4 linked regions of the Arabidopsis thaliana genome follow. The protein of the gene in region 3 interacts with the protein of the main gene of each other region in a pairwise test. Each region holds a gene or a part of one and is shown on either strand. Other genes may lie near its edges.

Region 1 (5,725 bases), on a different chromosome or scaffold from region 3:
CACAAGATTTACATTGTACAAGTAAACCAACTCATGATTCTTCTTTGCTATAACCTCCTTCAATTCCTCAGCAGCATCGGCGGAAAAAAGGAACTGCTCCCTTCATGAATTCCAAAGTCTTGTAAATAACAAACCACAAACTACAATATTTAAGGACAAAAGGAGACACAATTTAGAAGGTTTAATAATAGCTTACAGGGTCAATACCAACTCTTCCACCAGGCGCCAAAACATCAGCTATCCATTCACTCGCCGTGGGGACTCCCGGATTACCAGCCCGCATGAGAATCCAACTAGAGTTTAATTGCTTCTCCGCCTTTGATAGAATAATTGCAGAGAATGTAGATAAGAAACTCCACATTTCCTTTCAATATGAGATGGCAATCAAATAATTTTAAAGGACGATAATGATCAAAACCTGAAGAAAATAGCGGCCATCTGTCCATAGAGCTGCCTTATCCTTGGTGACAACAGCGGTACCAGCACTTCCAGTAAATCCTGATATATAAGCCCTCCTGGCATAGCACTCTGCGATGAACTCGCTCTAGTACAAAATATGGAGAAAAATCACACTCAAGCCATGAAAAACTCAGGCAGTTTATGGATACATTTAGAAGTAAAACATAAATTTGTGACTTTCCTAATGGCACAGAAATATATTACAGGCAACATCAGTTATGAAAGTAGATCTTAAGCTCCTAGTATGTAAAATTCACCGAAACAACACATTACCCATATCAAAATGGCAAAAACAATTGCATAGATGCATAACAACCCCCGCACTGGTCCAAATCATATTTATTTTTTATCTTGAATCTCCAAATCGAATTTGGTATACTCAGGGACAGCAAGATTGACGTGTGAGCGGAGCAAGAAACTTTGGGGAGAATGAAATAAAACACGAGTTGGAGAATTTCATACTGTGATTTAGAAGAAGAAGAACTTCCATTTGGCTCTACAATTGAAACATCCTCTTATGACAAGTTGAGATTTGACTAGGAAGAAAAATCTGAATGCATTTTCAACCCAACATATAGAAGATCAGATACCACCAAAGCCGTTTCTTACAATACCATAAAGTAGAAAATTACAAAGACAAAGAGTTTATGCATAACACAACTGACAGATATCATAACAAACATATACGTTTCACAATCACTCAGAGAAATTGTGAGAGGTGATGGTGTTCAACGAGCACTTGTGGTGACTACTCTGCGCTTGTTTCGATGGAATTTTTCCATGAACCACTCGTGTTTGTGTGCAGTAAAGAAGATATGTCCAATAACTAATCCACAAAACACACCAGGTCCGTAGGCTATTGCCGCTGCTATCCAGTTAATCACTTGTTCTTCTGGTTCCGAAAATTCCTCGGATTCTAGTGGTGTAGAACTCGGGGCATGAGCTTTTCCACAGATTTTCTCAAGACCGTAGAGTCTGAGGTTGTCCATGAATGTAGAACAATGTTGGCTTTGAAACTGAGTGCCTAGTGGAACTGGACCTTCGAGAAGGTTATGGGAGAAATTCATGGTCGACAGAAAAGAGAGGCTACCAAGATCTCGAGGGATGTGACCTGATAGCTGATTCCGGGATAGGTCCAATGTCTCAAGATTTGTCAAATTTGCCAATGACTGAGGGATATTGCTTGTGAATGAGTTACCTGACAAATTGAGAAGACGCAATTCCTTCAACAAACCAACGGATTCAGGTATATTCCCAAAAAATCTGTTTCCAGAAAAGTCAATGGCTCTGAAGAAATATGGGATCCGCAAGAAGTCCGTTTCTACTCCTTTATATATCATAGTCATCGAATTACTATGGCTGAACTCGGGCCCTTTCTCGCCCATGTACCAATCCTCTGTACCTATATTAGAGCCGTTTTCTTCTAAGACAGATGTCACCATCTCACGCCAATTGGAGAAATATAAAGGTGACAAAGTTCCACTGAAGCCATTCTGTGATATATCAATGAGTCTCAAATGTTGAAACCCAAAAGATATGTGGTCATAATATAACGACCCATAGAATGCATTAGATCTGAGGATGAGGACACGTAATGATGGCAAAGAAACCAACCAGGATGGAAAAGTGTCCTTGATTATGTTGCTTCCCACATTCAGAAGTTCCATACCAGTGCAATTGATCAGGGATTTTGGAAGTTTTCCCTCCAACCGGTTGTAGCTAACGTCAAGTGATAATAACATGCTAGCATTGACAAATACGTCTGGGAGAAATCCGCTGAAGCTGTTGTTACGCAGAACTAGCCCTTTAAGCCAATAAGTGGAATTTTTCAAACAAGGAGGAATTGAGCCGTTGAAGAGATTGTTGGACAAGTCTAAGTACTTTAAGAACCTTTGCTTGCAGATCCAATGGGGAAAAGGTCCTCCAAGTGAATTCGAACCAAGATCCAACTCCTGCATTGATTCTCCATCCAAAGCTCCGGATGATGACTTTCCAAAACTGTTGAAAGAATTGTGGGAAAGTGTCACTGTCATCAATCCCCATAAGCAACCTGGCACTTCGCCTTCCAAGGTATTGTTTGAAAGACTAAGATGCTGAAGGTTGACCAACTTTGATATAGAAGTGGGGATTGGCCCAACTAAGTTGTTGTGGCTAAGATCTAGTACTATGAGACTGTGAATTTCAGATATATATTCAGGGATTGGCCCATCGAATTTGTTATCAGCAAGGTTTAGATCCCAAAGCCTAGAAGATGAAGATATATTCCCAAACTTTATAGGTCCCATGAACTGGTTTCCTTCCAAATAAACAATTTGTAACGAAGGAATCGTGAATAAGGATGTAGGAAAAGTCCCGACAAATGAATTCTCACGCACATCAAAATATTTCAAGTTGTGGAGTCCACTCATATCAGATGGAAGCGTGGATTTAAAGTGATTAGAGGCAACGTTTAAGGAGGACAAGCTGGTTAAATTTGGTAGTATGAAAGAGAAATTTTCCAATGTGAACTGATTGCTAGAGATGTCTAAACTAGAAAGCTTCGTTAAATTGGTAAATGAAGTAGGAATGTTACCACTAAAACTGTTTTCGGAAAGTAAAAGGTCTCTAAGTTGGTTTAGCTTACTGACCGAAGCCAGAACTTCACCTGTCAGCTGATTACTCGAAAGGTCAAGATGCGTGAGACGAGAAAGGTTTCCTAGTGAAGAAGTAACCTCTCCATAGAGATGGCAATCACTGAGAGTCAGGTTCTGGAGTTGTTGGAGTTTGAAAAGACCACTAGTTGGTTTCAAAGAGTTGTTGAGAAGGACATAACTAAGGTCAAGTGAAACCACCTCGCCAGATTCATCATCGCACGTGACACCCTCCCAAAAACAGCAATCACTAGTCTTGTTCCATGAACTCAACGATGGACTTGGCTTCGATTCACTTACCGGAAACTCGTGTTTGAACTCGAGAAGAGCATCCCTTTGGTCATGGCGGCAATAGTGAAGCCTAGAAGAAGCAAGAGTGCGTAGAACAAGGGAACCCAGGAGGAAGAAATACAAGGTAATAACACTACCAGAAAAGGAATTAGATTGGCTTGGAATCATTTTGTTTGTTTTGTAAGTAACAGGTTATGATAGCTATGGCTTCTACGTCTCTATTTAGAGAGAGAGAAAAATAGAAAACAAAACACAAATTTGCAGCTCTCTAGTAGACTTCTACCTACTCCTTTCTATAGTCAAACTTGCCCACTTGGACCAATAATTGACTTAAAAACACACACAATTGAACAGTTTTGAATCTACTAGAACTTCCTATTCAATTCGTAATCACGAGTTAAGAAGAGGTTTAAAAAAAGAGAACCTGATGTGCATCTTGTGAAGGTATGATATAAGCGTCGATTCCAACACCCGGCTCCGAAAACAGTCGCCGGATCGAGCTAAGCTTCTCGTCGACAACTACTTTGGTTTGAGCTTTACGAATCTCTTTGGAAGACTTTGCCGTGAAGGAGGAAGAGCTGCTGCTGCTGCTACTAGCATGACACCTTGCGCCAAAAAGAGGTTTATACGGTAATTTCCGGTGGATCAGAGAGAGCGAATTGAAATTGCTGAGAAATAGAGAGTGTGAGTAACGTGATGTGGATAAAACGAGCCGATTCAGAGACGGCGACGAAAGAGTTAGAGGAATCATCACCAGCGATTGCAGGAGAATCACACAAGAGGAGAAGCTTCTTGAGCAGAGTGATTACGGATAAATGTGTATAACTACTGAAAATTGCAAAACAACCCCCGTATTCTTTTAAATGTTGTATAATGTGCATGACTATTGATAATTACATTAAAATCCCAGACTTGTCAAAAAGAAACATTTTATTTTGAAACAATCTCATCAAATTCGTTATGGTAAAGGACAGCCAAGAGAGACGTGTGCAAGAAGCAAGAGTCTTTGGGTGCGTAAGAAATGTAAACGTGTTCGAGACTTTCATGCTGAGAATTTCGATTGGAATTTTGGTTTGACTTAGAAAGTTTTATGAGAAAGACTTAATACCGCCTGAATTAAGGGTTTCCACGAAAGAGACAAACGATAAATTGCAACCACACCAGAAAAGAGAAAAATAGATACTAATATTCTTTATATTGATAACCATGGGGTTTAGAATTCAAAACATATTTTGAGATATGAGTAGAAGAAGTTTCTGAATGCATTATCGAGCCAAGATTTATTACAAAACCTTGCAACAATGTGGTTTGGGACAAGAAGCTGACCATGATTTTAACCTGATAGTAAAACGGGCCTTGTCTCTTGACAGCTGAAAGTCTGAAACAAGATCATAATATTTCTCAAGCGCTGAACTAACACAAGTAAGGGAATGGAAGTGAATACTTGTTCTGAAGCAACTGGCATGAAAATGTACCTCTCAAGTATCTGGTTTTTTCTAATCTCCTTCCGTGAAAAGAAAGATTCTTAGGGTACCAAGGCAAAGGCTTGATTGCCTCCAATTCACCACTCTCTATGGCCTTAAGTATGCTTCTTATGTCTATCATCAATGAGACACTAGAAAAATGAAAGAGTCATGAATCAACCTCAGCCCGAAGAGATTTCATGAAATCATTCTCCAATTTCAATCAAATCCCATCACAAAATTGACCACTGAAGAATCAAAAACAGAGGCCACTTAGTCAAAAAAAACTCTGAAACTCCATAAACGAATCCCACTCTTCAGCTTTCACTATCCTTTGTTCCTTACACAACTTCACAACAAGACATTACAATGGTGTTTATTAGAAGTAAAGTTTCAAAATCCATGGAAGCCATTGATTCTATTGAGGTACCTTGTAATACTCCTCGAGTCCTCATCCTCGAAATGAAGATTTGAGCAGATGGGCTTTTGGAGGTTGGAATCAAAGGAAGCATCGGATTTGAGGGGGTTTTCGAACATTCTCTTGGCTATTTAGAGTTGATTTCTCTTCCAAGTTGTGTCGTCTCCATTTTTGTTGTTACAGTGGCCGAGCTTTTTGTTTTCACAGCGATGGGTTTGATGGGTTTACATTGGTTTTGAAATTCAAATTGATCTCGGTTCGGTTTAATTTGGTTTAGAGAAGAAAACCAAAAAAAATAAGACACGCGATGGATTTTTGAGAGTGAGTTGCGTGGATCAAAAAAGGCATGATTTCTGTGGACAAACCCCTTTAGAAATCGTAGACACGCGCTCAACGCGACATGGGTGAGACTGGTTGTGAAATCGCTCGATTGGTAAAAGTGGGGTATGAAGTGGAGCTCTCTC
Region 2 (7,931 bases), on a different chromosome or scaffold from region 3:
AAGAAAAAGAAAATATTCAAGTTTTTTGTTGGTAAAGAGACATTGAATAGGCAGAAGACGTTGCTATAAACTGAACCAACCATTTTCAACTTGTTCACACACATAACCGTTTTCGCATTAATAGAAAGAAATCAAAATAAATATGCTCTCATTAATCCTCTTACAAACATGGAACCCGGATCCTGCTATGGAAAATTATATATGTTGAATGTTCTAGTAACTAATGTGACCGTAACTAGCCTGATAAGCTTATGCAAAAAAAAAAAAACAGCTTATGCAAAATCATGGCATGTGAGTAGGCGAAAACTTATACAAATACAATCAAAATAATGTGATATTAATATAGGTATGTTTACATATCTCGTGAATTGATATCCAATGGACCTGCAAGATTTTCATCTAATATAACTTTCATTTTACGAAGAAAATTATACTTTGGAATTTGATGTGAGTCGTGAACTAGTCGTCTTTCTTACTTTTTATGATTATGAATCCTAACTTCTTGGTCCAACCTATATATATACAAAGATTTCATACCGAAAGTCAAATATATGATATTATGGAGATGTACTATGTGAACAACAAATGTATAATTATGAGACTGGTCCAGAGAAACATTAGATGGAAGCAGATTTGTAGTCCATGGACCAAAAGAACTAGTCCAAAACTTGATAATTATCAAACAAAAGTTTTTGATCAATTACAAAAGGAGTTAGGGAAGCATGTAACATAAACAATGACAACATATTTTGGATCAGTGAGCATATATAAACAATAAAAATACCATAATCCGATGAAAAAAATCATCAGAGATTTGCAAAAGAATCATTTATGATGGATCACCGCCAAAACACACACAAGGCCACAACCAACATAAAACCAAACCAAACCAAACCAAACAAAACATCCACACTAATATCACATACGACCACAATCACAAGTAAATACAATGAAGTCGTACAAATAAATGACCACCAAAAATTATATTTTTGTAAAGTAAGTCAGGGAAATCCAAAATCCTTAATAACCATGGGATTTTTTTTGGCACAAGTTATCGTGCTTTTGGGTTAATTTCGGTTGTAAAGCTTGTGCTCATTTCAACAGAACTTCTTGATCCCATGTCTTCTCTCACTCCTCGCTTTGAGTTTTCTAATGTTAGACATTGCTTTAGTTCATTAGTAACTTGAGACATGGTTGGTCTTTTCTCCGAAGAAGGATTCACGCAAGACATTGCTATCTCAAGAGCCTTCCAAACAGAAGTAGGCTCATAATCTCTATTGAGTCTTGGATCCACAACGTTCTCAATATCTCCCTTAGTAAGCATGTATCCCACCCATGCTGCTATGTGCGGCTTCTCTCGGGTTTGCTGAATCACAGGTCGACTTGTGATGATCTCCAATAATACAATCCCAAAGCTATATACATCACTCTTTTCGTTCAACCTATTTGTTCGATAATATCTACAAACAAAACATGAAGTATTTTTTTTTTCAAATGAATGAGGAAAAACAATTTGAATCAAACTAGTTTGGTGATGTAAAACTTACTCGGGATCCAAATATCCAGGAGTTCCAGCAACAGCTGTTGAAACATGAGTTTCACCTCCAACTGGAAATGATCTTGAAAGGCCAAAATCGGCGAGTTTTGCTTGGAAGTGTTCGTCTAAAAGTATATTTGTTGTTTTTACATCACGATGTACCATTGGAGGTTTGCAACCCGTATGCAAGTATTCTAATCCTATATTTATATAATTAAATTGTTCATGTTAGATGATCCATATAAAGTGATTAATGCATTTGAGCTAAGAACGAACCTTGCGCAGTTTCGACGACAATTTTTAGTCTACTTGACCACTTCAATGGAGAGCCACCCCGTTCTCCTATAATTAAGAAACTTTTAGTAATGTTATAAAAGCATGAACATTAAAATATGGCTAAGTAATCACTATTTTAAAATGTGGGAAATTCAAATTTATACCTGATAGATGTTGTTTTAAGTCTCCGTTCGGTGCATACTCATAAAGCAGGGCCAAGTTGCTTTCTTCATCACAATATCCAACCAAACTAACCAAATTGACGTGGTGCACTCTCAAAAGAAGTTCAACCTGACCACCCATGTCCAAACAAATTTAAGAGCCATCACATGTTACAATATATTCCATGTATTATGTATTAACATACCTCAGCTTTGAATTCCTTATAGCCTTGTACTGATGATTGAGAGAGTAGTTTAACAGCTATTGGTTGCGTACCATTTAAAATACCATGATACACTACCCCAAACCCTCCTTCTCCAAGAACTCTTTCAAAATTATCTGTTAATGCTTCTACCTCTGAATAAGTGAACCTTTTCGTTTGAGTAAATATAGACGGTCTATTTGGTAACCCATGTTGCACTGTAGGTAATGAATCAACTGTCACAACCAAAAAGTTCCATGAGATTAGGCATCTTTTGGTATGTCATCATCATGCATGCATGTTACGATAAGAATATATATCTCATTGTATAATTATGTACCTTGCGTTGGCCTTCTCTTTTTGAAAACAAGAATGAGAATCAGTACGGCTATAATGATGAGCACAGAAGCTACTGACGCAACAACTGGTACAATGTACGTTTGATTGTTATTATTTTTGCATGACGCATCGTTACACAACTTTGGGTTTCCTTGGATCCTTAAGAAAATAAGTGTTGTTGAATAAGACTATAGGTTGAGGAAAGTTGATAAAAAAAAAAGAAGGGTGAAAATCTTACGTTAGCTTAAGCCCATTCTTTTCTCTATCAAGAAGCAATTTAGGAAGAGGACCCGTAAGGTCATTCCAATTTAAATTTCTGTCAAGGTAAACACAAAATTACAATGTCAATGTAAAGTGACAACAAGTATACCTAGTGAAATATAAGTGGCCGGCCATTATGTTTGTTTATATCAACTTACATGATCGATAATGACTTCATGCTGGCTAGAAACTCGGGCACTCCTCCAGTAAAACTATTATTTGACAAGTCTCTAGTATTTATAAAACGTTAAAAAGTCAATCTATTTTCCGTTAATAGGATAAATAAAAAAATAGTATGAGATGAGATATTTTTTTTCGTCCAATTTGTTATAAGATGTGAAAAATTAGAAATATGTTGGTCACAATATAAATGTTTTCTCATGGATCGCGTTTAAGTAAAATACTAATAGCTCTTACAGTTTTCGAAGCTCGGTCAAATTTTGGAAGGCAGGCGCAATGACCCCTTTTAACCCTCGTGATGACAAATCTCTGTTCACAATATAAGAACATTTTTTCAGATATAAGATACTTAAGACTTAAGAGATTTAGGTTTCAATATGCTTATGAGATATATAATGATCGTACAAAGAAATAATTCTTGGAGGAGTAGACTTATTTGTGTAGCTGCATTTTAGATCTTCCCACTTTAATAGTTCAGGGACACAAGGATCTCCTTGCCAACTAATCATCTTCAATCCATAAAATGCTTCGATATCCTTCATAGCAGCGACTAACATAATGGTTCGAGGAGGAAGCCAAGAATTAGCATATAAAAGATTAAAGTTTCTTAATGAGGGTATGTACTAAATAAACAAAAATTCCACCCTATTATTTGCAAAAAAAAAAAAGATTAAGTTGGTTCATTTATCGCGCTATTTTTAACAAATATCATGTCATATTTCATAACACAATTTTTAACATGGTAGTACAATATTTCAAATTAAACACGATAAACACATGAATATTTTCTCCGTTTTGTGACCATTATTTTTCCCCCAATTTTGTGATTGTTTTTTTTTTTTTTGCAAATAAGCCCTTTCTTACAGAATAGAGAATGGAATAGTGGCGTACCGTCATTTGGATTTGTTTCAGCGTATGGAAAGTCCACAACCTTGAAAGCCTCAATAGCACTAATCAGCGGTGGAAGAGTTGACCTTGGAGTTCTAACGAGTTTCAAGTAGCACAACCCGGAGCTACATTTGTGAGGTGATAGGTTATATTTGGTATCTGATTGTAACATCGTAGGACTATATGCTGACTGAATAATATCTTCTTCCAATTCAATGTCGAATTCTCTAGTCTCATTGCCCCTCAAAGCTTGGATTTCGGCAAAGTGAAAGTACACGTTAACCTTGTCACTGTCGTCATCTAGAGACACGTAAAATCTCAATGGCAAGCTGGCATTTTCGGGCGTGATTCCCATCCTACTTACAGCTTCTGGTACTTGAAAGGGACTCGAGGATCTCACGTTGAGGGTGGTGTTCACATCCGTTTCAAATTCATTATATCGGTCCCATTTGCGATCAAAAATATCATCAGGATACCTAAAACCATTTTTGGAGTAGCCATGCAAAAGTAAATGAATCATGTTAGATTGTTTTTTTTTATAAAAGAGTTGCTAAAGTTGAGTTTACATACCGTATAAAACCGGTAGAATTGCTACTATAGGCCCGCCGGTAGATGAGGTCTAAGGGACCGAATTGAGTCAAATATGAATCATTTCTTAGTGGCCGTAGTTCCAAGGTTGATATCATTGGTATAGTTGATCCTGTTTTGACAAGACAAATCTGCAATAAGTTCGACGTTGTCATGTAAATGATCTCACGATCTTTTCCGAATTCCAAATCAACCGCAATCCACATGTTAGGCCCAACATGTAAATCAAATTTGGGATATACATTAAGACCATCATAATTTCCATATCCGAACCCTGCTCTTATCAAATAGTTGATGCCTTGCTCTACTTTCAGATTATAGCAGTTTCGTATTCCATCGGGAAAATATCTCAAATCCTTGTACTGCCTGTAGATATATGTGTTATCATCCCCAGCTTCACCACGTAAACCACTTAAAATAAAATCAGCATCAGATGAGAATGTTAATCCGGTTCGTGGGTCGGTATAAGGAGACTCATTAACGGGTAAACCGCAATCCAAACTGATGAATCCTGGCAAGATACAAAATGTATTATTAGTGAAAAATAATGTTTTCCTTTTGTTAGACCATGAAGCTTATAAGGAAGACAATCAAAAGTTTTGGAAAACAGAGAATCCTTTATTTTCTTTAACCAAATCTCTTATATCTGTAATCGTTAATATTATTTTCATGGTGGCTATGCGTACAACAAAGTAGAAATCGGTTAGTGATCTCGACCAGTCGAGCAAGAACACTCAACTACTTGGCTAATCCTTAAGTCTTTATGTGTCAAAAACTGAACATGAAGCAATTATTAAAAAAAGGTATATAGAGAAACCTCGTTGATCAGGCGGCTGAGCTTGAACAAGATGTGTAATGGCCAAAGCCCCAAAGATGAACACCAGTAAACGTTGACGACGACCTTCCATTTTCAAGTTAAGTTAACATACAAATTTTTGAAACCAAAGACAATCTGAAATATATGATACAATATATTGATTTTCTAGTACAAATGATAGAAATACTTTAGATGAAGATCAATTAAAATCCAAAACACATGTTGGCGTGGAATACTCTCCAATTATAGATTCATATCCAAGCACGACTGAAGAATGGTCTAACAAAGATATATACATTTATATTCCACTTTGTGGAAAAAAGAGAGCAATTTAATCATAAATCAAAGCACCTGATGTAATCTTTGTTTAAACAATGTAAAACCTGCCAAGTTGATCTAATGTCAAAGCTTTATAAACTATATGATAATTCTGCTAACGACTTGTACTTAACAACAACTTGGTGGATTTAATACATTTTGTTGACTTTCACTCAATTATAATCGCAATACCTCTGCAATAATGTAAAATTCTTGGTCTTCAAAAATAAACTAAGATTAGTCTTTTCTTGACAAACCCTAATATTCGTTTTGTTTGCCTGTATATGCATTATCTATCTATGGCTTACTCATAGACGTTAAGAGATAGCTGGCCTCTTATAGTTATAGCTCATATTCTCAGTATTACTATACATTGTCAACCAAGAAATTCTACATCAACCTTTGTTAATATCCCTTGTTAGGTGGGATTTAGTGGGAAAAGAGATCAAACCTTATTTTGGAAAGATCATTTCCAAACGCTACTGGACCATTATCCACTTGGTTCACAATTTGCTTTTTTAATGGAGCTTTGACAATCGGAAACTGTATGTGTTAACTATATAAAAATATTAATTATGTGATAATTCTTATTTTTTATTGTTGCTTTTTTAACAAGTTTGTAATAGTTAAAGTGTGGTTGTAAATATATTTTTAAAATTTAGTACTGGCTACCTTGATGCACATTATTTGTATAAATACCTGAGTTTGTAAGAAGCAAATCATTGAATCAAACAAAATGATCTTTATCTTTATTTTTTCCTGTCCATGTTGTAATATACGAATTCTCTCTTTTACATAATTATTCTACAACAAGTTACATAAGTTACGTCTATAATTATTGTGGATCAGACGTAATGTTTCTTTATGTGAATCAGACGTAATGTTTCAAATAGGTTGTAATATGTAATTGTTTTTCATATGTAGTAAATCCTTTTTTGTAACGACCGGGTTCAAACTAATTACTTAAATCAAACCTTGTTATATCCTTGTGCTCCAAGTCTAACGATCAATCGAAGATTTATTATGTTTGGTCAAGGGTTTAAAGAAGACATATACAAACCTTAATACAAGGAAATTCCTATACATGTCGGAGTCTTATGATCATAACCTATTATTTTAAACACAAGTTGGGGTTGGAACATGTCAAAGAAATTCACACAATAAACCAAAAATAAAGCAATTCTCGCAATTATTCAATCTTCATGTCTGGCTTAAGTTGACTTTCTTTAATGTATTATTCCTTCCAATCTGTGTATGTGAGGTATTTCTCATTTACGTAGCTCCTTGTTTTCACTAAGCAAGTCTTTTTTATGTTCTTGATTTCCATATTAGCTTTCCAAGAAGATGATGAGCCATCTTTTGTTGGCCATAATTGGAACCTTTGCCGTTATAGTTGGCGCCCAAAAACAAGAAGGTAATAATTTATAAACTCTTTAGTAGATATTCACCGAGGATCATCCATCCTTTAAATTGATATATCTTCTATATATAGTTTTTTTTTAAACTTCGTCGATCCTTTTTATGCTTGAACAGGTTTCATCAGTTTGGATTGCGGATTTCCTATTGAGGAATCTCCTTATAGTGATCCATCTACTGGATTAACATTCACATCAGATTCAACATTTATCCAGACTGGAGAAAGTGGTAGAGTCGATAAAGAGCTCAACAAAATATTCCGAAAACCATATTTGACTCTAAGATACTTTCCGGAAGGAAAGCGTAATTGTTAGTCTGAATGTCACTCGTGGCACAAATTATCTTATATTGGTTACCTTCATATATGGAAATTATGATGGTCTTAATATTTATCCAAACTTTGATCTCTATCTTGGTCCTGATAAGTGGGCAAGAATAGATATGGAAGGAAGACAAAATGGTACATTCGAGGAGATCATACACAGAGTGAGGTCAAGCTCTTTGGATATTTGTCTTGTTAAAACAGGACCAACCTCGCCAATAATATCATCTATAGAACTACGACCAATGAGAAATGATACTTATCTTACGCATTCAGGCTCACTGAGGAACTCTTTCCGGGTTCATTGCAGCACTTCTGATAGCGAAATAAGGTAATTAGTTGACTTTGTTTAAAACAATAAGTGGGAGTTTTCTGTCATTAATCATACATGGCATCAATTTTCTTATACATAAATTATTGTACTTTTGGTTAGTATATAAACATCGTTATTCATGATTAACTTGGATAAAAAAAAACAAGTTGCAACTATCACCGCACGACATGTTTTGTTTTAATCAATTTTCTACATTTTTTTTTTTGTTATTTATTATCAAACTATCATATCGTTATACAATTTTTTTAAACATGTAAACAAAAATGATTCGTGTATGAAATAAATGTAGTT
Region 3 (4,619 bases):
TACTCACAGTTGTTTGTATTATTATCTCTCAGTTAGGTGGGTGTACATTTACCACGTGATTCCCTTGATTTGATATCAAACATTACAATCCGGTACATACGAGGACAAGCTACTTACCATGCATGTACAAGAAATACGCATTTACACAAGGAGTGATAACAGCTATACTAATTTATTGAGAGAGTATTGCACTCTATTAAATATATCACATACACCATTATTTTTTCAATATCAGCATAAGATTTATAAATACATAATGCTTTATCTATGTTTATACTCTAAATTCTTTATATATATAAAGCCTTTGAAATAATATTTTAAAATTTACTAATCGATCCCAAAAATTACAGGATAGTTCTGTGTTAATATCGTTGTTGTAATCGTAAATCAAATTCAAATCCCATGAACTGTGCGGATCATAGTAATGTTATTTGATCTACCGAATTCAAATTCGGCAAGAAACACTAAACCCGTGGCTAATCTGATCATACCGACACTAATGATCACATCAACCACATAACTTCCAATTGACTACAATATGGAGTTATGGATGCCAATTTCAATTTGGGCTTATGGATGCCAATTTGGGCTTATTAGATCCAGACCGGCTTACCATTCTCGATGTTGGAGGTTTTAATCGCCAAACTGCACTATTGTCTTTTACAGCAACATTGGCGTGATAAGCTTGGTCAGGTAGAAGAGTCGTATTGGCGTAATTACATATCAAAGTAACAAATTAATAATCATTATAGATTAACGATCATTAATTAAACTCATAGTTACAATGCATAAAAACTAGGACAAGCCATTAAATCCAGAAAACACAGGAATCTGCTACAGCAAAGACATACATTCTCTACACTCAAACCACCTCACAGATGCTCTGCATTATTTAAGAAAGACAACACACGAAAGTAAAACAGAGAGCATCTTAAGTCCGAACCATATGACAAGAGAAACATATTTACTCAGGTACAAATTTCTTCCTGAGCTCAGAGACGAATTCAGTAACCTTCTCAGGATCAGGCAAGGACTTAGCCACGCTCTCCCTCTGCAAACACTTCTTAACCCAAGCAATCAGTTTCGGAACCTCAGATTCGATACTGAAGTTAGCAAACTTCTCGTATGCTGGAAACCATGTGTAGAATCCAATCAACGCAATGTCTACATAGCCAAAGTCATCGCCACTAAAGTAAGGTTTGTCTCCAAGCTCAGATTCAAGAGTCTTGAGTATCTCAATGAAATCCTTCTTCCCTGCCTCTTGTTCCTCACCCTTTGTCGCCCACACCTTCCTCTGAGCATCATACAGCTGAAACATTGCACAGAGTAACATAACACCAAGCTATGTCAGAACTCAGTCGAACCCAAACAAAGCTCAAAGATGATGTCTACAAAGCAAAACCAGTCCTAGAGACCCCCAAATTGCAAAAGAAACATATCATCAAACTATCTAAGATGAACCCAAACAAAGCTCAAAGATGATATCTACTAGCGAAACTAGTATGTAAAAACCTCAAATTGCACAAGTAACATAACATTAAACTATCTAAGAAGACAAACCCTGACTAGCTCAGAGATGAGTCCACAAGAAAAATCTGAAATTTGGAGGTGAGATCTCTAACCCTAACAACTACAAACTCAAGTAATATTATAACATCAGACAAACCCATACAAGCTCAAAGACGAGTCTACAAGCAAAACCCTAAATTTGAGCCAATCACTAGCAAACTCAACTAAAGTTTCAATTTTTATGAAATCCCAAGTTCAATTTCAACATTATTCAATCAAGGGCACAAAGGAAATAAGATACCTTCTTGTCAATGAAATCAGCCCAGAACCTAGCTTGAGCTCTCAGGTAAGGATCAGAAGGAAGGATAGGGTTCTTGTGAGACCAGACCTCGTCAATGTACTGAACCTGGATGATAGATTCGTTAACCGGTTTACCATTGTGGATGAGAACAGGAATCTTCTTGTGAATCGGATTCATCTGGAGAAGCAAAGGACTCTTGTTCCTTAGATCTTCTTCTCTGTACTCAAATTCAACACCTTTCTCCCTCAATGCGATCCTTGTCCTCATCCCGAACATACTCGGCCAGAAATCAAGAAGAATCACCTCGTTCGCCATTGTTACGATCGCTAAAGCTCACAAAGAGATTTTTTTTTGTAAGTGTTCGTCTTTCTCGATTTGTTTGGTTGGGACACTACCTGTAAGGGTTTAGGTAATTTATAGATGAGAATATTTATGATACAATAATGGATTGTGCTGACTCTAGTCGTTACGTCACACCACTCTTTAAAAACATGTGGCCAGATTTTAAAGCTTTTTAAAGTAATAATTTATAATTACAGTATTTTCTTTTTACGTAACATATCTTCATTCGCCTTTTTTTTATCTGTTGACCATTATAGTGTTTTATATAGTAACTTGCAAATATTCGTGTGGACTCTATGATTGAAAAAAGAAAAAAAATCGTCTGAAATCTATTATCATAGTAGCAAATTTGGATTTTGGATGTTAAAGGAAATTATGGATTTCAGTTGACCAGAAACCATAATGGATTTCTAAATCAAGATTTTAGATTTCTTAGCACTGCGTTTAATTATTTTAAAAGTTGATGGAAAAGATTATTTTGTTGTAAGAAAATAACTGGATGGATTAACACAGTTTTAAATTATGTGAACAATTAATTTGACTAATGAGTATTGACGTTTTATTTCGGCACAATGTATCATTACCTGATGAAAATATCATTTATTTATAGAAGAAATGATTCATATTGAAACTTAGTTGAAAAACGTGCAAAAAAATACAGAGGACTTAGAAAAGCGAGCCAAATTTCTAGAAAGCTGTGTAGGTTGAAGAGGTGGAAGATACGTTCACGTTACCAGAATTAACTGGAAATTTTCGAGATATTTCGATGGAACTGTAGAGATTGTGTTACGTCAATAATTGTATTTATACAATTGACGTGACCACATGATCTCGAGAAGCTTGGCGACATTGATCACGAAAGCGAGAGAAGATCCTGGTTCAGTATTGGTTCTATCTTATTTTTGTTTTGGTCATGGACTTATGGTGAATTGGGCCTATATTTTACAAAAAACAATGGATCTGAACCGGGCTTCGAAAAACAGTTTTTCTTATTTGAAAACCCATTAATAAAAACAAAATCATAAGAGCGAGCAAGAAAAAAATCATACCTGACCTTTCAGAACTCCTGTGGCCAAACAAAATGATCTTCTTATTTTTAAATTCTCTTATTTTTAATTCCAAAAGATATAAACTCGCGCCAAAAATTTATGTAACTGATGCTTTAGTATCTTTAACATAGCTAGATCTATTATAAACCTATAATAGACTAGTTAACAAATTTAGCCAAATTGGATATGTCACCAGAGAAAGCAAAATCAGCTACATTGGGTATTTATATTTCGTCGAGTAATATACGGGATTTTTTTCAGGCAGATAATGTGATCTATTCATTATAGACATATATGATTGTTTCATAAGAAGAAACTAGCTCAACATACTCATATCTGCGTTGGGTTCGATATCTCACGACACGTAGCAACATACTCATGTCATAACATGATACATCTTACAATATACACAAAATAGTTGACTAAAAAAAAGCACACACACATTAGGATAAGAAGATACTTAAATTGTTATTTTTCATTGATGATTTCGAATGTGTATCTGTATCTGGAAGTCTCTATAGTGTGTAGACTTTGATCTAGAAACATCGAATGGACCCTACGCACTGTATTACGTGGCATTTTAGTTTCAACCTACAAACTCGTTACTTGATTTTGTATATTCTAATGTTTTTGAGGCGTCAAATTCCGAGACATCAACGTATTTTTCGGCGAATATACTATTTAAAAGTCATGTACAAAAATACGTATGATCTTGATGAGATTTTCCCTAGTATGATTACATATTTGATAAAAACTATTTATTTAGAAAAAAGACACAGCAGTATGCACGTTATAAATCAAAAAATGGTCTTTTTCCATGTCAAAAAAAAAAGATAGTTCCCGGAAAAAAAGAGTGGCCATGAAGTGTATTACATGTTCAAAGATTAGAATCAATCGATTGGCTACTGTGAAATGCGAGTGCTTATGTATACGCTTACGTGTATGCACTTTAGAACCAATAAGAGTAGGATAAAAGATCACAAGTCAAAACTGTGAGATGTTTCCCGTTTGCTTAAAGTAGAAATCGCAACAACCTCAACGTAAATTCATGAATAAAATAAGCTGTCAACAAGTTAAACCCATAAATGCATCTTTTTGGTTTATAATTAAATTGCATAAATAAAGTTTTGACTTGTTTATTTTAATGAACTGAATTAGTTTGGACCTTTAAATTCTATTTCTAATGGTATTCCTAAGTAATATTTTATAAAATACAAGGTTAGTTTTTTTATGTAATTTCGAAATATAAGTATAGGGATATGGATTTCTTACTTTAAAAGAAGAAGAATAAAAAAACAATAATTCGTATTGTGGTAATTTCGTAATTTGTAATACCAATTATTGCAAGAAGAACAAAAAACGAACAGACGAAAAACGAGCAGATAAATAAAAGTTGTTGATAATTGTAAAAAAGACAA
Region 4 (6,316 bases), on a different chromosome or scaffold from region 3:
AAGCTTGTCATCATGTAGTCCAGCGGCCAAATGTGTGATCTAAATTGGCTTGTCTACCATTGCTCAATGCTGTAGTTTCTTTTGCAGGTTGCAGAAGCTCCCAACACTTGTATCCGTTTTGCAGCCAAAGATTTTCTTGGTAAGTATTCTCTTCCACTCTGGTGAAGAAATATTTACATCCTGCATCTGTCTATATTCTTCTATCTAATACCATATTATGAATAGGTCCCTGATGCTGTCAATCAGAGGATCAGTTTGGCTGCGATAAAGACCATCTCAATCCTGAATTACTTTGAGAACAAGACGCTACATGTACCAAGAATTGTAGACAATCCAAGCGTAGAGATTACGACAGACTTGGCCTCCAAATTGAGCTGGAGAAAACTGAGGCAACGTGAAAGCTTCGGTATTGCAAGATTGAAAGGTGGGCTTCTGATGGAAGATGGGAAACACAGATTAGTTTCCGGGTTGGAGCAGGAAGAAAGTTCAGGAAAGGCTCGGCCATTGAGGCATTGGGGCTCAGTGGCTCCGGAATTACTTTTAGACGCATTACTGAAAATGGGAATAAAAGGATCCATCGAACAGAGTACAGGTGATAATGGATCAGAAGACAAGAGTATAATCCATATAGAAAATCCTAACAGTGGCCTGATAGAGTTCTCAGAGATGGGTACTGCTATTATAACAGGCGATGAGAATGTAGTCTCTCAGGTCTTCCAGGCGATTGATGGAGTTCTTGACGGTATATAGAGGAAGTATCAAGCATTGACTCACCAGAGCTATTAGTGTAATAGAGTGACCAGTTCAGATAAACCTTGTAATTATGATTGGTTCGGAAATACTCTCTGTAACATACTATATATAGAAAATAATATAATCTTATGTACTATATGCATGATTAAATGTTAATCATTGTATTCTGTGAGTATTGTTTTGAGATTCATCTTATGTACTTCATATTTCGAGGCTTGACTGAATATTATTTATTAAGGATTCTTAAAGAACCAGTAAACTAAGAAAATGTAATAAATAACAAAGAAGAAGAATAAAGTGGATCTCTGAGTTTGAGATATTATATGGTCTTCAAGCCACTTATATGTTTGTAAAAGCTGCATCTATTTACATACAACGTAGCTCTCCAACGATTCATACAAACATATAAGTACATAACTTATAAAGGTAACACAATACATTAGTCTTGGACAGATCCTAGGATCTTTATGACACGACATCTAAGCCAGAGAACTAGTCACCTCCATCTTCTTGCATACTCCCTCTAGAATTTTTAAAAAGTCTCTCACGATTACGAATACTTTCAATAGCTGAGCTTCTTCCTTTGCAGGATCAACATGGAAATACTCTGTTATCTTTTTCACTGCAAAGAGCGTGGAACCTTCTTCTCTTTCAATCTTTTTAATCTCCTCAGCAGCAGTTTCCAAGAATCTGGTCACCGACTCCCTGAATTTCCACCATTGGTGTTCCTCACTGTGTCCAGTCTCCTCACACAGTCGCAGAACCTCACTAATTTTCTGAACTTCTTCATAAAGCTTTGACACATTCATTCTTACAACACCGTAGTCCAACTCTGCAGATTTCTTGGCATCGTTAAGAACTGAACTGAGATTTCTGACAACTTGTAGCCCTTTGATTCCTTCTGATTCAGTGATCTTCTGTACAACAGAATCCAAGATACTGGTTCTTCCATCTGACGATTTGATATCGACAAGGCCGAGGAGCGCCTCAAGTTTGAAGTCATGAGCATTCCCGCTCTTCATTCCAGCCTCCAAGGTAGCTCCAACAAGTCTCAATAACATTCTGCTATTTCGCAGTGCCTCACAAGCAGCCTGCAAAAGAATCATATAGCTTTATGAGACGTAAGCTTACAACAACATACACATTCATAAATGTCTCTTGTTATCTTCATCTTTGTTTTATACCTGTATAACGCTGAATGATCTTTTCAAGTGTTTGACTTTGGAGTCAAAACTAGCAACAGAGAGCAATGCATCAACCCGTTTGAACACGAAAGGAACATTAAGCAATTCCTTGAGAAACCTCTCTGATGGAGCAAGCTTGATCACTGAATCATCACTATAGCTAATCAACTTCTTCTCTTCTTCTTCGCTCGGTGCCACTCTTGCTAAACTCTCAAGAAGCTCAACTCCAAGTGCATCATAGTGACCTGATGAAATAAAAGACAAGTCAGATTCAACTCGATACAATCCGAATAATGAGAAGAAATTAGCTTTGTCATTGATGATTTACCATCTCGAAGGGCCTGACAAACATCATTTGTGGTGAGCTTAAGTGTTGTAAGCAGAACAGCAACATTTTGACTCTTCCTTGGATCCAAAACTTTGCTCTCTTGATTTAGCATCGGAAGATCACAGCTAAGACTTCTCTGTTTAGAGTTAGCATTTGAAGAGTTGTATGGAAGACGGTCCCAAGTATTTGTCCGACGAGAACTTGGTCGGACTTTGTCCCAAGGCAAAGGTTTCAGCTTTGGCTTAGGTCGATCTGTTGTTCCTTCCCCACAACTCTGTGGTAACTCCGAGAAAGATAGCTTTTTTCCAGATTTCTGAACCATAAAAGACTGTGACGGTGGCACAAGAGGAGGTGGCTCAGGCATTGCCGGTGGTGGTCGTTGTGGAGGAGGAAGAGTAACAGCAGCAGCGGCCGATTCTCTCTGTTGAGTTGTATCAAGCTCTGGTTTTTCCCAAGAAGATTTCAAACTTCTAGAAGATTCAGAGATGTTGATACAAAAATCTCTAGCAGGTGATGCAGAAGTTGAAGAAAGAAACAAAGACTTGACATTTCGACTGAAATCGTTCCATCTCGGCGGCGAACTATCAAGAACCTTGCGGAAAAACCGATCCGGCGTGGTGGAAACTGAAGAGTACATAGAAGAACGAGCATATGCGTCTGGAGTTCTAATCATACCTCTCTCTGGTGAAGTAGAAGCAGAGGAAATTCTTGGAAACCCTAGATTTTGATTCCAGAGGCTAAACATTCTCAGCGACTGCCCACCATATCTCTTATTGTTCCTTACTGTTCTCTCCGGCGACGACGGAGAGTGAGTGTTTTGGTTAGTTGACCAATGTGGAGCCGTCGAGTTCATCGGTGGAGACATCGCAGCTGACGGTGACATTGCCGGAGAATCCGAGTGTGAAGAGATAGAGCAAGAACAGTTACTGTACGGATTGATTCTCCGGTCTCGTGATTCTTGACCAGCTATAGACGCGAGAGGCGAGTAAAAGTCGTCGTCTTCTTCTTCTTCATCAAGATTAGCTTCAGAGTGATGTTGCAGGAGGAAGCTACGGGCAGGTAATGGCGGGAGAGGAGAGATATCTGGTGACTCCGGTTTAACAAAACCCGACCCGGAGGAAGTGACGACGTTGCCGAGGTAGAGAACATCGGAGGTAGAAGGAGCTACAGAGAGTTTGTTTTGAGTGTTGTTGTTTCTTGGAGGGGGACATGGAAGAGTTTGTTGTTGGGATTGGCTAATGTCTGAAGCTAAGCTCTTGGATTCATCTTTGAAATGACTGGTTTGCCCTCGCCACCGTCCGTAGAAGAAAAAGGCCAAGGCGATTAATGTTGCGGCGGCGAGCACGGCGGAGATAGCAGGAATAAGGAGTGTACGGGAAGGAGTTTGCGGTTTAGGGGAGCGAGGGAGGACGAGAGCGGAGATGTTCGCCGGAAATGTCGCAAAAGTGGGGGCGGGAGGCGGAAGAGGCTGCGGCGGAGAAGGAGGAGGAGGAGGAGAGGTGGAGCTGTAAAGTGGGAAGAACGGCGGTGAGAATGTGGAAGGATCAGTTACAGGAGCTTGAAGAAGGTGACGGCGACTGAAAGTGGCCGGAGAGGCGTATGATAAGGGAGAGAAAGCGCAGGATAGCAGGGAGAAGATGATGAAGATGACGTAGCAAAGTCCGTCCATTTTTGGGGTTTTCTTGTAGAGATTTTGTGTTCTGCAATGCGCACTATCTGAGGACGAAAGAGTGACTTAATGCTAGTGTTTTTGAATAAAAATCAAGTAGGGAGAGAAGAAGAACGTATATGAAATGCAATAATTACGTCAAGTAAATTTGGGTCCTCTCTTTCAAAAGAATCTTTTTGACTTTTGCCTAGTACTATACAAAACACTATCTTCTCTTTTCTATGCAAACCAATTATTAAAGTCGAGACTACTATCTTTATCTACGAGGAAAACAACTAGACAACATTTCTATTTGCCAAATATTGTTATTTTGTCTCGTGTTATGGAATACTATGTAATCCTATTCAAATTAATCAAGAGTAGTATATAGTTGGGCTAAAATGTCTGAAAAAGAAAAAGAAAAAGTAGAACAAGCAATGCAGCATGCTTTGTCTTTTATTTGTCTTATCCACATTTTTCGTGAATAATAAATATATAATCTCCAAAAAAACTACTACGTAATTATGGAAATTGAATTAACTAGTGCATTAGTTTGAAACGCCATCAAGCTTTTCAGCTTTTTGGTCAATTAAACTTTTGCATGTTTTTGGGACTTTATTTGAATTTCGATTTAGCTTTCAATGAGAAATGGTGGTGTGGCATAAATTAATCAGCATAGTTTTTGAGGATGCAAGAGAGTCATATGACGCCTAAGAAGAAAGGCAATAAGAAGAAGGAAGCGTACTGCACAAACAAAACAAATAGCGCAATAGCTTCGTTGTAGAGACAAGGACTAGAAATGGAGAAGACTTGGTTTGGCCATATTGAGATTAATTGTTACAACACACCATGTGTTCATTCACGTACCTCCATTTTTGGATGTTTAGTAGAAAACAAATGTTATATTTACCAACCAAATTATTACAACAATTGATTTACTACTGGTCATCCCAAAACCTTGTTAAAAAAAAACTACAGCTCAACTTTTCTTGTCAAAGAACACAATCACGAAGTTATGTTCTCACGAGGTTGATGAGAGTTCCACGAAGCTCATTTTCACTCCAAAAAACCAATCTCATAACAATAGACTAGTAAGAAAGATCAGGTTTCGAATGTGAACTGATACTCTGAGCATGAAGACTTTGTTGCGACACTGGCGGGAGAATTAATATGCAAAAGTCCAACTTCTTCACAACATCCAAGGAGACACTAATTACTAAATAATTGTTTTTATCTCGTGGGTGGGCAACATATATAGGTTATAATTAAGCCTTGGAACGACAGTGTTCTTTAACATGCGATTCAAGTTAAGAAGATATGATCACGTTTGGTTGAGTCACAACACTTTTGAAAATACACTTAAATATCAGTATGAATGCAAACTTATAAATATATCTAGATAACAAAAAATTAAGATCTCCAAAACTACAAATACACATAGTTAAGACGTAAGACAAATTACCTGTCGAATCCAGAGGAAAACAACTCATCTGGTAGCATGTGTCAAATCAGCGGGAACAAAACAAACCTCATCCTAATATCAGCTGGCTTCACACTTGACAGCCCAATATGTCTTATCAATGAACATTTTTCATCATACGCTTTTTTTTTTCTTGTTTTTTCTCGATGTTGCTACCACTGATGATTTATTTCAGCAGCATCAGAATTTCCTGTTGGATCCAAAAATTGGTTATCAATTGTTTGGAGCCGATCAGCTCGGATTGCTGCATTTACCTTCTTGTACATCTCTTCCATGTTGTCTAGCTCAAGACCCTTCTTAAGGTAGTCACTTAAATGAGTTGTCTTCAGAAATTGAGATCATTTATTCATCTCAAGAGATCATTCTCATTCAAGAAAATGTGCTTATATGATTTAGGATTGACATTACCCTCATGTATAATCCACAATCCACAATCCACACCACTTGCTAAAGTTACGGTACGGTGACACAACTTCGGCATAAATCTCAAAAATTGAATAATTTGAAGGATTAGAAAATAAAATAAAAATAATAATATAAACAAATGCGAAAAGAAAAAAAAATCATAGCAAGCAAAATTTCTGCTTCAGCGCTCTCGTTCTGTTTTGGTATTTGGATTTTCAATCATGGATTGAGCGATTGTTCTCTTTTTACTTGATTGATTTCTTCGATAAACTCTGGATCTTTTGTGTGGGTTTTCATAATTTCTTTTTTTCCGATCAATCTAATCCAATCCAGAGATTCTGAGTCTCAAAGTTTTGCTTTTTTGAGTCTGTTTTCCAAAGACATGTAGGGCTGGATTCTAAGCTTGCAACGTATCCATTTCCCTGGTCTTTCTTGGTGATCCGGAACTGAAGTGAAGGCTCTCTGGATTGCTTCATTTAGATCAATATAGAGGTTTATCTGACTTAGGTTCTTGATGA

The links.
Region 1: the proteins of GSTU19 (region 3) and RLP30 interact in a protein complementation assay, tested with the Arabidopsis thaliana proteins (one large-scale study listed by BioGRID).
Region 2: the proteins of GSTU19 (region 3) and AT2G28960 interact in a protein complementation assay, tested with the Arabidopsis thaliana proteins (one large-scale study listed by BioGRID).
Region 4: the proteins of GSTU19 (region 3) and AT3G07540 interact in a protein complementation assay, tested with the Arabidopsis thaliana proteins (one large-scale study listed by BioGRID).

Annotation. Positions count from the first base shown.
Region 1 is NC_003074.8:1,529,713-1,535,437, forward strand, and holds RLP30 (receptor like protein 30), read right to left. Parts: upstream 3,650-5,725; 5' UTR 3,549-3,649; coding exon 1,188-3,548; 3' UTR 956-1,187; downstream 1-955. Other genes in the region: AT3G05350 (Metallopeptidase M24 family protein), read right to left, coding at 1-93, 197-316, 419-544, 3,805-4,131; AT3G05365 (uncharacterized protein), read right to left, coding at 4,664-4,758, 4,856-4,995, 5,274-5,380. UniProt on the Arabidopsis thaliana protein: Receptor for microbe-associated molecular patterns (MAMPs) that induces a BAK1-dependent basal immune response to necrotrophic fungi (e.g.
Region 2 is NC_003071.7:12,437,007-12,444,937, forward strand, and holds AT2G28960 (Leucine-rich repeat protein kinase family protein), read right to left. Parts: upstream 5,587-7,931; 5' UTR 5,342-5,586; coding exon 5,251-5,341; intron 4,945-5,250; coding exon 4,416-4,944; intron 4,322-4,415; coding exon 3,849-4,321; intron 3,508-3,848; coding exon 3,363-3,507; intron 3,267-3,362; coding exon 3,195-3,266; intron 3,008-3,194; coding exon 2,936-3,007; intron 2,833-2,935; coding exon 2,755-2,832; intron 2,676-2,754; coding exon 2,518-2,675; intron 2,414-2,517; coding exon 2,181-2,413; intron 2,105-2,180; coding exon 1,978-2,104; intron 1,880-1,977; coding exon 1,814-1,879; intron 1,738-1,813; coding exon 1,548-1,737; intron 1,461-1,547; coding exon 1,052-1,460; 3' UTR 712-1,051; downstream 1-711. Other genes in the region: AT2G28970 (Leucine-rich repeat protein kinase family protein), read left to right, coding at 6,913-6,982, 7,102-7,293, 7,583-7,637.
Region 3 is NC_003070.9:29,485,695-29,490,313, forward strand, and holds GSTU19 (glutathione S-transferase TAU 19), read right to left. Parts: upstream 2,314-4,619; 5' UTR 2,126-2,313; coding exon 1,811-2,125; intron 1,310-1,810; coding exon 965-1,309; 3' UTR 693-964; downstream 1-692. UniProt on the Arabidopsis thaliana protein: Catalyzes the glutathionylation of 12-oxophytodienoate (OPDA). In vitro, possesses glutathione S-transferase activity toward 1-chloro-2,4-dinitrobenzene (CDNB) and benzyl isothiocyanate (BITC), and glutathione peroxidase activity toward cumene hydroperoxide.
Region 4 is NC_003074.8:2,403,531-2,409,846, forward strand, and holds AT3G07540 (Actin-binding FH2 (formin homology 2) family protein), read right to left. Parts: upstream 4,105-6,316; 5' UTR 3,935-4,104; coding exon 2,266-3,934; intron 2,183-2,265; coding exon 1,938-2,182; intron 1,845-1,937; coding exon 1,233-1,844; 3' UTR 963-1,232; downstream 1-962. Other genes in the region: AT3G07530 (integrator complex subunit), read left to right, coding at 88-139, 226-750. UniProt on the Arabidopsis thaliana protein: Might be involved in the organization and polarity of the actin cytoskeleton.